Linked DNA regions of Nothobranchius furzeri. The protein of the gene in region 1 purifies or fractionates together with the protein of each later gene. This does not show direct contact. Links are inferred from orthologs where the notes say so. Each region holds a gene or a part of one and is shown on either strand. Other genes may lie near its edges.

Region 1 (8,055 bases):
CTCCAGGTCGCTCATACTGCAGCAGATCAACACATCGTTATCAACACAGCTGTGTGTGTGTGTGTGTGTGTGTGTGTGTGTGTGTGTGTGTGTGTGTGTGTGTGTGTGTGTGTGTGTGTGTGTGTGTGTGTGCGTGTGTGTAGCATACCGTGCTCCCTGATGCTGGCTGAACAATCCAGGCGTACTCACTCCTGATGAGGCGGAGACAGTTAAGAGCAGCCAGGTAACAGTTCACCTGTTTCTGAAGGCCAAGCTGCGTACGAATCTCCCGGCCCAGACGCATCCCAAACTCAAACATGACGGTCCCCGCTGAGTGAACACGGATACACACACTATGCAGTCGCACACACGTATAATTAGGTGGAATTTGCATGTTTGCTTTGGCACCTTTCCTGTAGTTGTGTCGGGTAATGTGGAAGGCGTACAGAAGCTCGTAGTAATTGTGGGTCAGCAGATCCAAACTACGAGCACGGGACTCGATGATGCTGACTACCTGAAGGTCCCGTGAGAAGGTAAATATTACATTTTTAGAAATAAACACATGCAACAAAACAACTGCAGAGAAGAAAATCTGTTCAGGCTTTGCCAGACTGTGGATGAATGAAACCCATCCAGCCATCCATTTTCATCCGATTATCCGGAGTCGGGTCGCGGGGGCAGCAGCCTAAGGCGAGAGGCCCAGACTTCCCTCTCCCCAGCCACTTGGGCCAGCTCCTCCGGGGGAATCCCAAGGTGTTCCCTGGTCCGGTGAGAGACATAGTCCCTCCACCGTGTCCTGGGTCTACTTTAGGTCTCCTCCCAGTTGGACGTGCCCAGAAAACCTCACCAGGGAGGCGTCCAGGAGGCATCCTAACCAGATGCCCGAGCCACCTCAACTGGCTCCTCTCGATCTGGAGGAGCAGCAGGTCTACTCCGAGCCCCTCCCGAATGACCGAGCTTCTCACCCTATCTCTAAGGGAGAGCCCAGCCACTCTTTGGAGAAAACTCATTTCGGCCGCTTGTATCCGCGAACTCATTCTATCGGTCACTACCCAAAGCTCATGACCATAGGTGAGGGTAGGAACGTAGATCCACCGGTAAATCGAGAGCTTTGCCTTCTGACTCAGCTCTCTCTTCACCACGACAGGCCGGTACAACGCCCGCATCACTGCAGACACAGCACCAATCAATCTGCCTATCGATCTAATGAAACCGTTAGGGTTAAAGATATCCACCCAAGCACTACGCCCCAGCTCCCCATCAGGCCCAGTGGTGATCAGCTCCAGACCTGCCTCAGAGGTGGAGCCTTTATACCGACCAGTCAGAACTTCCACATGGACCCATTTACAGACAAACAATAACATGCATAGGTTACAAGTGTGTTTGGACTGTTTCCGATACATAAAGATACCATGGTAACGGTAAAGGTACTGTGGTAATGGTAAAGATACCATGATAATGGTAATGTAAGGTAAAGATACCACGGTAAAGGTAAAGATATTATGGTAATGGTAAAGATACCATGATAATGGTAATGTAAGGTAAAGATACCACGGTAAAGGTAAAGATATTATGGTAATGGTAAAGATACCATGATAATGGTAATGTAAGGTAAAGATACCACGGTAAAGGTAAAGATATTATGGTAATGGTAAAGATACCATGGGAAAGGAAAAGGTACCATGGTAATGGTAAATATACCACAGTAATGTAATGGTAAAGGTAAAGATACCATGGTCATGGTAATGTAATGTAAAGGTAAATATACTATGGTAATGGTAAAGATATCATGGTAAAGGTAAAGATGCCATACGATGAACAACTGCAGGAAATAAAAGATTTTCAGTCAGGGCTCACCTCATCATGCAGGTGGACGTAGGGAAACTGGACTAAATCCTGCAGCTGAGAGCGTTCACACAGAACCACCACCAGCTGGCGAAGACAATCCAGCTGCCTGGAACACAAACAAGCATTCAGCTGAAACATCACCGGAGGATCAGTCTGAATATTTACAGATCAGATGTGTGAGAATCTGTCCGTTTGCAGCTGGAGAATTCGGGGTCTTCTTGGAGACATCCCCACACCAAGATTAGGATGTTGCTGTCGAGTCAGACCAGGCAGCTCCCACTGGTCGGTTGGTCTTGGTGCACAGATGGAAAATGTCCTAAGCTGAAACACATTTCTCTGTAGCTAAAGCAGAAAGCGAGAGTCCTAGAACGCTCCTAGGTGCTTAACATTCATCCATGGACACTGGTGGTGATGAGCTGCATTGTAGCCACAGCTGCTTTTATTGGCCGTTGCTCCAGTAATAGCTCAGACTATTAACCTGAGTTCATCTTCTGGATCTGTCCCTGATGACTTTAAGGAGAATATGAATTATTCTCTTCTGAAAAACCCTGGGTTAAGTGCCTCACATCCAGTTAAATTTAGACTTACTTTCCAAGCTCCTTTTCTTGAGCAAATTACTGGATAAATGTGTATACATTTGATTAATTGACTCCTTAAATGAAAATGAGCTGTTGGAAACTTTTCAATCAGGCTTCAAAGTGCTGCATGGTGCCGAGACAGCACTGGTGAGAGTCATTTTGTCCGCTGCTTTAGACACAGTGGATCATGATGTGCTAATCGACTGTCTTGGACAATAAATGGGTGTTTCAGGTTTGGCCCTGGAGTGGTTTAGATCATCCCTTGAAAACAAAACGACATCAGAATGAGTGGTTTCTCGTCTGCCTCTTCACATCTTCCCTGGGGTGTTCTCCAGGGTTCTGTGCTAGGACCGCAGCTGTTTCTGATTTACATTCTTCTGCTGGGGGATATCTTCCGTAGCATTTGTTTGCTGATGACTGCCAACTTTATTTTCCCCTAAATGGTGAACACGGCCGTTCTATGAATAACCTACCTAGTGGAATACCGTTTCCGTTTATCAGCGGGCAGCAGCGGACGGTGTTGCCCTCTGCTGATAATGTAGAAATGTGGATGCGGAAAGACCCTACTGGCTGATTCTACCCACCATTTGGGAGGGTCCCTTCAATAGGAGTCATGAATTTGAACTGGCCAATCAGTGAGCAGGGGGTGTGATCAACTAGTTCAGCCCATAGCAGACTGACTTGGGAAGAGGGCTAAAAAACTACCCGTCGCACGCGGGAAAATTCAAGAACACTCTGTACCTGGTCCAGGCAGAGTAGAGCTGATGCTAATGTGGAAGCCCTTTATGTCTCAGTGTCAAACATGGCAGGAATCTAACAGCTCATATCAGCGATCATAATGTAACTCAGACTCTCTGGTTGCCCTTCTGGGTATTATTTTCGATCTACTGTCGGCAGCAACACATGCCTTACAAACTCTTAACTTTTTCAACAGAATTGCTCGTAACGGAGCATTTCCTAGCATAGCAAAGCGGCAAAAACCAGAACAACCTCTCCCGCCCACTGAACTCACCTTCAAAATAAAACGTTAACCCCAACATTGCCTATTCTAACCGTTAGAACATGTTTGAGGTCATTTGGTCACTCCGGCTCTCCGTAGCCGTTTCATGATTACACGGGGGAGGGCTTTGGCTGGTCTTTCCAAAAGCAGTATAATCAGAGCTCCTTTGGCAGCCACGATGAAAAGGCTCGCTGAAACCTGAACGGACTTCCCAAGTAATTAAAAACCAGGAAGCCAAATGCAACGTTTGAGGCAGAACATTGACCCAGAAGTTTTCTGATTTAGCAGACTTGTGAGTACATGTAATGACCGCTTAGACGGAGCAAGCTAGTGGCTAGCATAGCTACTGGATTGGTTATATCAATATAAAGTCCACTTGTTTCTTGTTTGAAATTACATCAATATTTTAAAAAATATCTATATTTTGTCCAGTCCTACGTCAGACGAACCATAACCTGGCAGGAGCAGGAGCAGCTGTAATGAGACTCAGCTGCACAAAAGATACCCCCCTTTCCTTCTCAGTTCGAATGCTAAATCACGTGTGTGTGTATGTGTGTGTGTGTGTGTGTGTGTGTGTGTGTGTGTGTGCATGCGTGCGTGCGCACGTACATGCTGCTGTCTGGGTTTTGGGTCAGAGCTTCGTAAGCTTCACTGTTGTGACCCAGATCCAGGTGATGCTTGAATATCTTGGTCCACAGAGCTGCCTGAAAAAAACACACACACACACACACACACACTTACTGATCTGCACTAACAGGAACAAAACAGTACAACAGGCCACCGTCCCCTACCTGACTGTGGGCATCACCAGCTGCTTCTGATAAGGCCAGAGAGGCGAGCTGGATGACAAACTCAGGTAGACCCATGTCCTCCAGCAGCCGCAACACCTGCACACAGTGATGTTACACAGGTAAGCAGGGCAGTCACACACATTAAGCAGATCACCTTTTCTAGCAAGAGGAAAAGTCCTTGGATTAATCAAAACATTAACAGACTCTGAAGGACATGCCGCAGAGAAGTTGGACGTTAACTAGATTAGAAAGTCACAGGCTGCACTTTAAAGAATGGATAACATCTCTGAACGAGACAGTGAAATAATCTCTGGGCCACTTACTTTGCTCAGCTGATTGCTGTAAACAAAATAACTCTAAAGTCCTGCTTGACACCATAAACCATATTGTTTCACCTCACGCCCCTCTAATGCCAGTTTACTCAAGGTTCGACTGTTTAATGTACCAAAGGGAATTATAAATAACTTTACAGCTTTAAAGTCTAAATAATCATATGTGTTGAATGAATAAGATGTTTAGATCAAATGTTTGAATAATCTGTGCTTAAATCAACTAATTTAAAATGAATATTGGTCCTATAATGATCCATTTCAGATCTTATCTACACCAGATCAGTATGAGTTTGATTTAACAAGTTATTCATTATCTACACTCATACACATTACAATAAGATACTCATTAATGTAATATTCACCTCACATAAGTGTTTTAAAACATTCTCATTCACAAAGTGTTAAACACCTTTGTATCTAAAGAAGGGATGTTTGGTAAAATCCTCAAACAAGTCGAATCCCGATTTGCCTAAAATTATAAACAATGAGTTCATTAAAACAAGAATTACTTCCTGATTAATTCAGTTTCCAGCTGACTCCCGACTTGGCCAAATTGGGAAAGAAGCCTCTTTTGAAACCATCTCCTTTGACCTCCAGTCAAAGCCTCTTTGCACGCTGCAAGCTGACACAGCCCAATCGGCTCTTTCAGTAGCCAAACATCAACCTTGGACGCAAGCAAGCATTCCAGCATACTGTTTTGACCTGGATATATCTCAAGACTAGACGAGTCGTATCGGAGCTAATGTACGGGCCCCGGATACCTTGAGGTAGATGTCTACCCCGACTTCTGACAGTCTGGATCTGCTGGGGGTGTCTACACAAAGAGTATTGTAGACTCAACAGATTGAGTTTGATCGTACCTTTCTAACAGAAGTTACATTGTCTGCATAAACCAAATCATGTCAGATTCTACCCATCTGTTCTGTGGGGTACCCCAAGGCTCTGTTTTGGGTCCACTGTTGTTTCTACTGTACATACACCCTCTTGGACAAATAAATGATCCTTTTCATAATGTCTTTTATCACCTATATGCAGATGATATTCAGCTGTACTGCTCCTTTAAGGATTCTGAGTTTTATAAACTGTGAATTACTAGAGTGTCTATCAGCGATCACCAGCTGGCTAGAACAGGGGTGTCAAACTCATTTTAGCTCAGGGGCCACATTGAGGGAAATCTAGTCCCAAGTGGGCCGGACCGGTAAATAAAAAAAAAACTTCAGATTGTTTTCTTTGTTTTAATACAAACAATATAAAGCAAGGCTGGAGCCTGAGGACAGTGTATCCAAAATAGTACAAGTACAACACCTGAAGTGTACTTGAAAATTTGAAAATACTAAAAAAAATCAATAAATAAAATAAACATTCCTTAGTGATTCAAAGAGCTTACAGATCACATGGCTAGATCAGTTTCAAGCACCACTTAAAGTATATTTGACTCATTTTACTTTACATCTTTTAGCTTTCACCAGCACATCAACATCAGAAGTCACATCCTGAGTGGCGGCCAACTTCAGGATGTGATTCAAGTTCTTGTGTGAGCCTTGAGCGCAGCTTTGTTTTATTTATACTCATTACAGAGGAAACTTGCTCACAAAGATAAGTTTATTTTCACTCTACATTGTAAAGTATGAAAATATAGTTTACACAACCATCTCGCGGGCCGGATTTAAACTGCTTGCGGGCCGGATCCGGCCCGCGGGCCGCATCTTTGACACCCCTGGGCTAGAAGATAACTTCCTCCAGTTAAACTCTGAAAAGACCGAATATCTGATCATTGCCCCTTAGAGCATGGTTCCCCTGATTAGTCTAAAGCTTGGTCATTTATCCTCTGTCGTCAAGACGAGCTTGAGGAATTTGGGTGTTTTTGACCAAGGATGGTGTCAAAACATGAACTTGAAACAGTTATCGATGCCTTTATCTCCTCCCGTTTAGAGTTCTGTAACACACTCTTCATGTTTTAACAAAAAAGCCCTTGACCGCCTTCAGTTGGTCCAGAACTCTGCAGCGAGGCTCCTAACTGGAGCAAACCGAAGAGCACACATCACTCCTATTTTAATGTCTCTGCACTGGTTACCCGTTAACTTTAGAGTTCATTTTAGAATCCTGATTATAACTTTCAATGCTCTACATGGTCAAGCTCCTCCCTATATTACTGAACTGTTAAAGCCTTATGCTCCAAACCGAGCTTTCAGGTCCACACACCAAAACCTTCTAGAAGTTCCAAAGACCAGATATAAAGTCCAGGTGATCGCTCTTTCCAGACTGTTGCACCCCGACTTTGGAAGGATCTTCCTTTATCCTCACGTAGCATTGACAGTCTCGACACTATTAAAACCCTTTCATTTAAAGCAGCTTTTACATTAATCTTTAATTTTATTCTTTTAATCTTAAATTTGTAAAATCTTATCTGTTTATGAAATTTAATAATTTTATGACTTTTTCTGATGTTTATCCATTTCTGTTTTGAGATCATTATGATTTTATGACTGTTTTATTTTGATCTAAGTGAAGCACTTTGTGATTCTATGTCTGTGATAAGTGTTGGATAAAAACTGATATTACTGTTAATAATGTCTTCAATGGTTTGATCTCTGGGGGTTTTAAACGAAGGTTCATCTATTTCTATTTCTCTGGGAACAGACAGGCTTTTGTAAGCTCTAACTGGGAGGACTGACCTTGCTCTCGGTACCAGACTTGGTGCTGGGGCTGGTCCCCCTTATCAGTAGAACTCCCTTGAGAAGTCCAGACAGCTCTGTTTTAGAAATTGCACCTGGTGTGCCTTCTCGCCTGAGTCTGTGAGAACCTCAAATGTGTGTGTAAATGTGTGTGCGTTGTATCTTTCCGTGTGTCTGCTTAATAAATACTCTTGGAGGACTTTGATGAGAGTGAAGTATCGGACCTCTGTGTGGTGTGCATTTCATTCTCCACTTTGCAAAGTCTAAATTGTTTTGTTGGTCGATTATTGGTATATGGTTTTGATCAGCTGATTATTATAACCCCTGCGTGTTGAACTTTCCCTAAGGTAATCCTGGATGGGAGATAAAATTACCTAACATTAAGTGCTATATAAATAAAGTTTACTTACTTACATTGGTGATGTCACACCACTACTGCTGCCTTACCTTGTTGTAGTACTGTAATCTGGGGCTGGAAGCAGCCTCTTCATCCCCACAGCTCGTCAGCTTCATCAGAAACGCCTCCCGCTCCACCTCTGATGCCGCTTCCTGAAAACACTGTAGAGCCTGGTGCAAACAGGAAATGATGTCACAGTGAGTCCTGTGAGCTTGCTACAGGTAAGGTGTACAGAAGAACGTTTACTTACCTTCTGGCCTTCCCCGTTAGCTAGGTGGCACTGACCCAGCACAAAACGACACGAGCCGATGTTCACCTGACACCACGGGCCAATCAGCCGCATGTACTCCTGCACAGGTGAGACACTCGCTCTCAAGCTACTTACATGAAGGTTTAAACAGACATGTGGATGACAAGAGGACAGATGCCCAGCTGTTTGGTCACCTGCTCCACTA
Region 2 (5,426 bases), on another chromosome or scaffold:
CGCCGGTGATTGGACAGGATAACAGAAGAGGGAGGAAACTATATATTTTGATTGGATACATTTTGTGTCACTCTGAAAAATTTTTTTAATGAAAAAGTTTGGATAAAAATCCCAACCTGGGTTTGTAGTGATGATAATCTCAGTTTTAGATTCCATACACAACATTTTAATTATCAAAATGCAAGTTTAAAAAATATTTAATACAAAAAAGGTTGTGCAGCTTTTTTTTTTTACTTGAACATGTATACATTTGCCAAAAATGGATGTCCAAGATGCCAGACACAATGCTCTGGAAAACGCCTGAAAGCTGATCACCTGTTACAGCTGGCATCAAACCAATACTGCTATTCAGAAAAAGTGTCTTCTGCCAACCACAGTCAAGACACGGGAGCGGCAGAGTGATGGGCCAGGCTGCTTCAGGGCCTGGCCCATTTGCTGTAAATTCATTCCTGAAAGAGACTGTCTGACCTTTGACCTTCCACAGGCTGTTCATATTGGAAAACCCCCAATATGACAAGCAACTCTGTAAAGAAAAAAGCTGTAACTGGCAAACCCATAATCTGCAGCTACAACAGTTTCTTGGTTAGACAGCGGTGTGGAGAAAGAACCAGCTTCATTCACATTTACATTTCAAGTTTTATTTTAGAGAATGTGTCAAATCAAATAGCCAAATCATTTAATCACACTCCATCAGAATGAGGCATTTACATAACAGCTATAAGCTAGGACTTGTTGACTTGCTCCAGTATAATTCAGCAGAGCAGCTGTTCATGACAAGGCTGTGGATCACACCCCAGCCAACGGACACGCAGAACACAGCAGCTCTGTCCAGAACGGGCTTCAGACATGCCTGATTCTGTGTGATGATGAATCAGGTGCTATTCTCACAGGGCTGCTCCACATGCTTCTACTGTATCACTTGGTATAATTTCTACCACTTTTAATACATTTCCTATTTGCAAGTAGACACAATTTCTGCTAACCTTAAAACAGGATAATGATGTGCCTTGCTAGTCAGTCAGATGACGTCCAGCGTGATTCAGTTCTCCGATTTGTTTTCGATTTATGGACAAACAGTTTTGAATTATTGAATTGTACTTTAAATACACACGCAGGGGAACACACAGCTAAAACGACTGCTCCTCAGCCTCTGGTAAGGACAGCAGCACTCTAGAGTTGTGTCTGGGGAGAAGAGCATGTTGCTGAGGCTGAGTGACGGGCTCAGCATCGCAGTGCTCTATGAGGGAGGGAGGAGGCAGCAGGTGACCACACCTGGTCCCTGCTCTGGGAGGATCCAGAGGAGGAAAGAAATACCTAAAGTAACATCAGAGGAAAATAAAAAGGGGAGCAGACAAACACAATGGATACATAGAAAAGGAGGAAGGTTTGGGGTGGGAAGACACCAAAAATACAAACAAGGAAACATAAAAAGGAAGTAGAAATGAAAATTTAACAGGAAAAATATCCATGCATGCTTCAGAAAAAATGTCAGGCAGGCAATGTTGGGTTGAGTGAGTGTGACCACACACACACACTCACTTTGGTCTTTGGTAAAGACCAAAGGTGACAGATCATTTGCTGCTGTGTCCCCTAGACTCTGGAACTCTCTCCCCCTGAGCCTGAGATCAGTGGACTCAGTGGTCTCCTTTAAAAAGCAGCTGTTCAGGCTTTGGTGTGACCTTCATCACCCTCTCCTTATTCTGCTCTCCCCACCTATTCCACCTTCCTCAGGATCCACTGATTTCCCCCTTTCCTATTCACTCTCTCTTTCTTTACATTTTTAATCACAATTGTCAATTTTTTTGCTCATTTTAAATATATTTTTAATCATTTTCTAAATTCTTTTTTATATTTTACATGTTTTTTTTGTGAAGCGCCTTGTGATTTTTATCTTGAGAGGCGCTGTAGAAAAAATCTTTTCTTCTTCATTGCCCCACAGCAGTAAACCTCTGCGACATGAGGTTGTGAGGTACACGCACCAAGGTTTCATGCCAAAAATCCAAACTTCAACAAGTTATCAGCTATGAAATGTGCTTCGGTGGGACTAGTCTCAAACAGCCACGGGGAGCAGGCGGTGGCGTGCACGAGACATTAGTAATATGCAGGACTCTGGTTTATCTTTGGAGAGGTCAGCTGCCGCAGGGGAGGAGCAAAGGAAGCTCTTTTGGCAATCCTGCATGCAACAAGCAATAAAATAGTAAATTAACTTCAACAAACTCACTTCACATTTGTTTTTAATCAACGTGTATCTGGAATGGTAGACGTGGTCAAAGTTATGCAAACAGCTGGTCGTAGGAGTTGTTATATACTACACACATTTGTTACTCAGATTAGGAACAGGAACAACATAACAGCTTGATTATATGTTCAAGAGATAATTCAGCCATTTTAAATGTGTTTTAGTGTAAAAGTTAGAAATGATTACCACGCTGTAGATGGCTTTAACGAAAAAGTCAAACCTGTCTAAACAGGCAGCTGGTCTTATTTCTCCAAACAGAGGGCATTCAGGAAGTAATCTACAGCAGCTGGAAGTTTTCTCACAATTACACTCAAAATTCATTCACAGTGACTGAAATATCCCACAGAATCTAAGGCTGATGAATACAACAGAAGATGAATACAGCCTCACATCAACGCCGACCAAACCTGAAACCACAAACTTCTTAACCAATCAGATGGCCATGTTATTTTCCCTTTATGGTTACATTTAGATTATAGAAAATCCATAAATGCATACAGTACTTCCTAAAACAGGAGCTTTGTTTAAGACAGACAGTTCTGACTCTGACGGCTGTATTCATCCTCACATTCATGGATCAGGGTTGGTTAATGGTTTCGATCTGCTCAGCAAAGAGTTTGGCGTTTCTCCGACTCTGAAACATGAGTTTTGAATCACTTTGCTGCTGGTGCACCGGGACGTGGAGATGAAACCGCCCGTCCCAGCGAGGCTCCCTAACAATACAACGGCTCTGCTGAATCTCCTAAAATAACTACATATCAACATTCATATCCAAAATCAGACACAAGGTCAGTCCTTACATTAGGTAAGTGGAGACATCTCTTTTGACATGCATAAGCAGAAAAACACCTCCCGCTCCACACACACAACCTGCAGCTGGAGGACAGAAGCCAAGCTCTTTGCACCGGGTCAGTGTGAGTCCAACAGCTTTGTCAGTGGGCGGCTGCACTCCCAGTCAGTGTGAGGGGCAGGGAAGTTGTCAGTTGTGACGGTTTCATCTGGGACGGGGTGAGTGGCGTCAGGCACACGACACCACCTACCTTCCTGCTGACATCCCGTTCAGGGCATTCTGGGAGGTCTGGATGGAGGAGCCCACCACGGTGCTCATGGCGCTGGGTTGACCAGACGAACCTGTCAACGGGCTGCCGTCCCCCTTCAGGATGCCGGTGCACTTCCAGTTGTCCATGTAGTTAGCTGCTCAAAGACAGGAAGTGACATCAGTGTTTGTTCATCTTCAGAATGGAGGAAAAGCAATGAGGCAAGGCCTCGACTCGGAGCCTTGTTGTCCAGGACTGAAACACCAACAGCTGCAAGGGATTCTGGTTTCAGCACACTTTGAGAAGGGTATCGCTGCAGACCCGGAGACCACAGATTCAGGCCGACTGCCGAGTACTTTCCCTGATCACTTTCAGAGGACAACTATATACTGCCCTCTAGTGGGCTTTTATTGCAGGTTTAACCTTTAACCAGACTCTGCCAGACGTTCCCAGCAGACCCTCACAATACGTTTAAGCTTGCCAGGTCTGACCGGCATCCTCCCCCCACCATCGAAGCCAACTCACCACCATGCAGGGGTCAGTTGACAGCTCCACCCCTCTCTTCACCCGAGTGTCCAAGACATGCGGCAGATGAAACAACAACAAAGTCTATCATCAGGCCAGCGGAACGAGGGAGTCACAGTGTTCCCTCACCCAGACGCGGGTCACCAGGGGCCCCTCTGGAGCCAGGTCTGCAAGTGGGGCAGGTTAAAGAGCCCCTGGCGGCTGGGCTGTCACCCAGGAAACCCAGCTGGGCACAGCCTGAAGAGGAAACGTGGGTCCCCCTTCCCATGGGCTGCAGAAGCTACCTCTCGGTACCATACCACTTTATTTGTAGAGCGCTTTTAACGCAGCATTACAACCGACCAAAGCGCTGCACATAAAAACAAATGAATAAAACAGGGTATCTGCAGGTTTAAGAGAGCCAAATTTAAGACTTTTTAAGACCTTTTTTGAGGCCACTTTGACCAAATTTAAGATATTTAAGCAGGGCAGCAGTAGCTCAACAGGTTGAGCGGGTTGTCCAGTAATCGGAAGGTTGCAGGTTCGATCCCGGCTCCGGACAGAGAATTCTGCTGTTGAGTCCTTGGGCAAGACACTTAACCCACCTTGCCTGCTGGTGGTGGTCGGAGGGACCGGTGGCGCCTGTTCTCGGCAGCCTCGCCTCTGTAAGTGCGCCCCAGGCCAGCTGTGGCAACATCATGGCTCATCCCCACCAGTGTGTGGATGTGTGTGTGAATGGATGAATGATACACTGTAGTGTAAAGCGCTTTGGAGTCCTTACTCTGAGAGGCGCTATACAAGTGCGGGTCATTTATCATTTAAGCTATAATTTCCAGCTGTTGCCTGGAACCGGTGCTAACCACGCCATGATCGTGGGATTAGCCATCCAGTTACCATTAAACTTCCCCATGGCGCAAGCTCCCACTAGCTTAACCAGCTAATGTGCTCATCTAAAAATAGCCCCCTTTCACAACCAACTGAATGTGTACGGTTCCGCTTACGCCAACAACGTACACAAAAAACGCTAAACACCAACTAGAAATTCACGAAAAGTTTATAGAAATAAAAGAATTTTGTTTATTGGGTCTTTTAAGACCTCTGGAAACTGTATTTAAGGATTATTTGTCATTTTTAAGGATTTTTAAGGCCTTAAATTTGGAAAAGCTAATTTAAGGCTTTTTAAGACTTTTTAAGGACCCGCGGATACCCTGTAAAAAACACAAGCTAAAATAGTCGTGTATATCATATGAAGTAAAAAAAGATAAGAGTTAAAACCAACAGAACAAGTAAAGCCAGAATATAAAAACACAAATTTAAAATCAAACAAACAAGGTGGAAAATCTAAGGATGAGTTCATGCTTCATGGTTTGGGAGTTGAAGGCCAGGGGGAAGTGGTGGGTTTTCAGGCGTGATTTAAAAACGCCAATAGAGGGTGCTTGCCTAACCCGAAGAGGTAATGAGTTCCACAAGTTTGGGGCAGACAGAAAAAGTCCTTTCCCCGCGGGTCTTCAAACGTGCCTTAGGGACAGTTTGGAGGAGCTGATCTTCAGACCTAAGAGCACGAGGAGGGTGGTAGTAATGGAGGAGTTCACACAGATAGGGAGGAGCCTGACTGTTCAAAGATTTGAATGCGAGAAGCAGACGGA

Evidence for each region. The genes of interacting proteins can lie anywhere in the genome.
Region 2: the proteins of nup160 (region 1) and seh1l fractionate together in Homo sapiens (co-fractionation; 3 studies listed by BioGRID and IntAct, with this or other methods). This does not show direct contact. The link is inferred for Nothobranchius furzeri from reciprocal best matches to the Homo sapiens genes NUP160 and SEH1L.

Annotation. Positions count from the first base shown.
Region 1 is NC_091744.1:79,815,076-79,823,130, forward strand, and holds part of nup160 (nuclear pore complex protein Nup160), read right to left. Parts: intron 7,950-8,055; coding exon 7,851-7,949; intron 7,771-7,850; coding exon 7,651-7,770; intron 4,293-7,650; coding exon 4,197-4,292; intron 4,110-4,196; coding exon 4,015-4,109; intron 1,934-4,014; coding exon 1,837-1,933; intron 494-1,836; coding exon 388-493; intron 310-387; coding exon 149-309; intron 17-148; coding exon 1-16. UniProt on the Homo sapiens protein: Functions as a component of the nuclear pore complex (NPC). Involved in poly(A)+ RNA transport.
Region 2 is NC_091745.1:49,013,725-49,019,150, forward strand, and holds the end of seh1l (nucleoporin SEH1), read right to left. Parts: intron 3,434-5,426; coding exon 3,280-3,433; intron 2,174-3,279; coding exon of another isoform or gene 2,092-2,173; exon of another isoform or gene 1,863-2,091; intron 1,315-1,862; coding exon 1,128-1,314; 3' UTR 617-1,127; downstream 1-616. UniProt on the Homo sapiens protein: Component of the Nup107-160 subcomplex of the nuclear pore complex (NPC). The Nup107-160 subcomplex is required for the assembly of a functional NPC.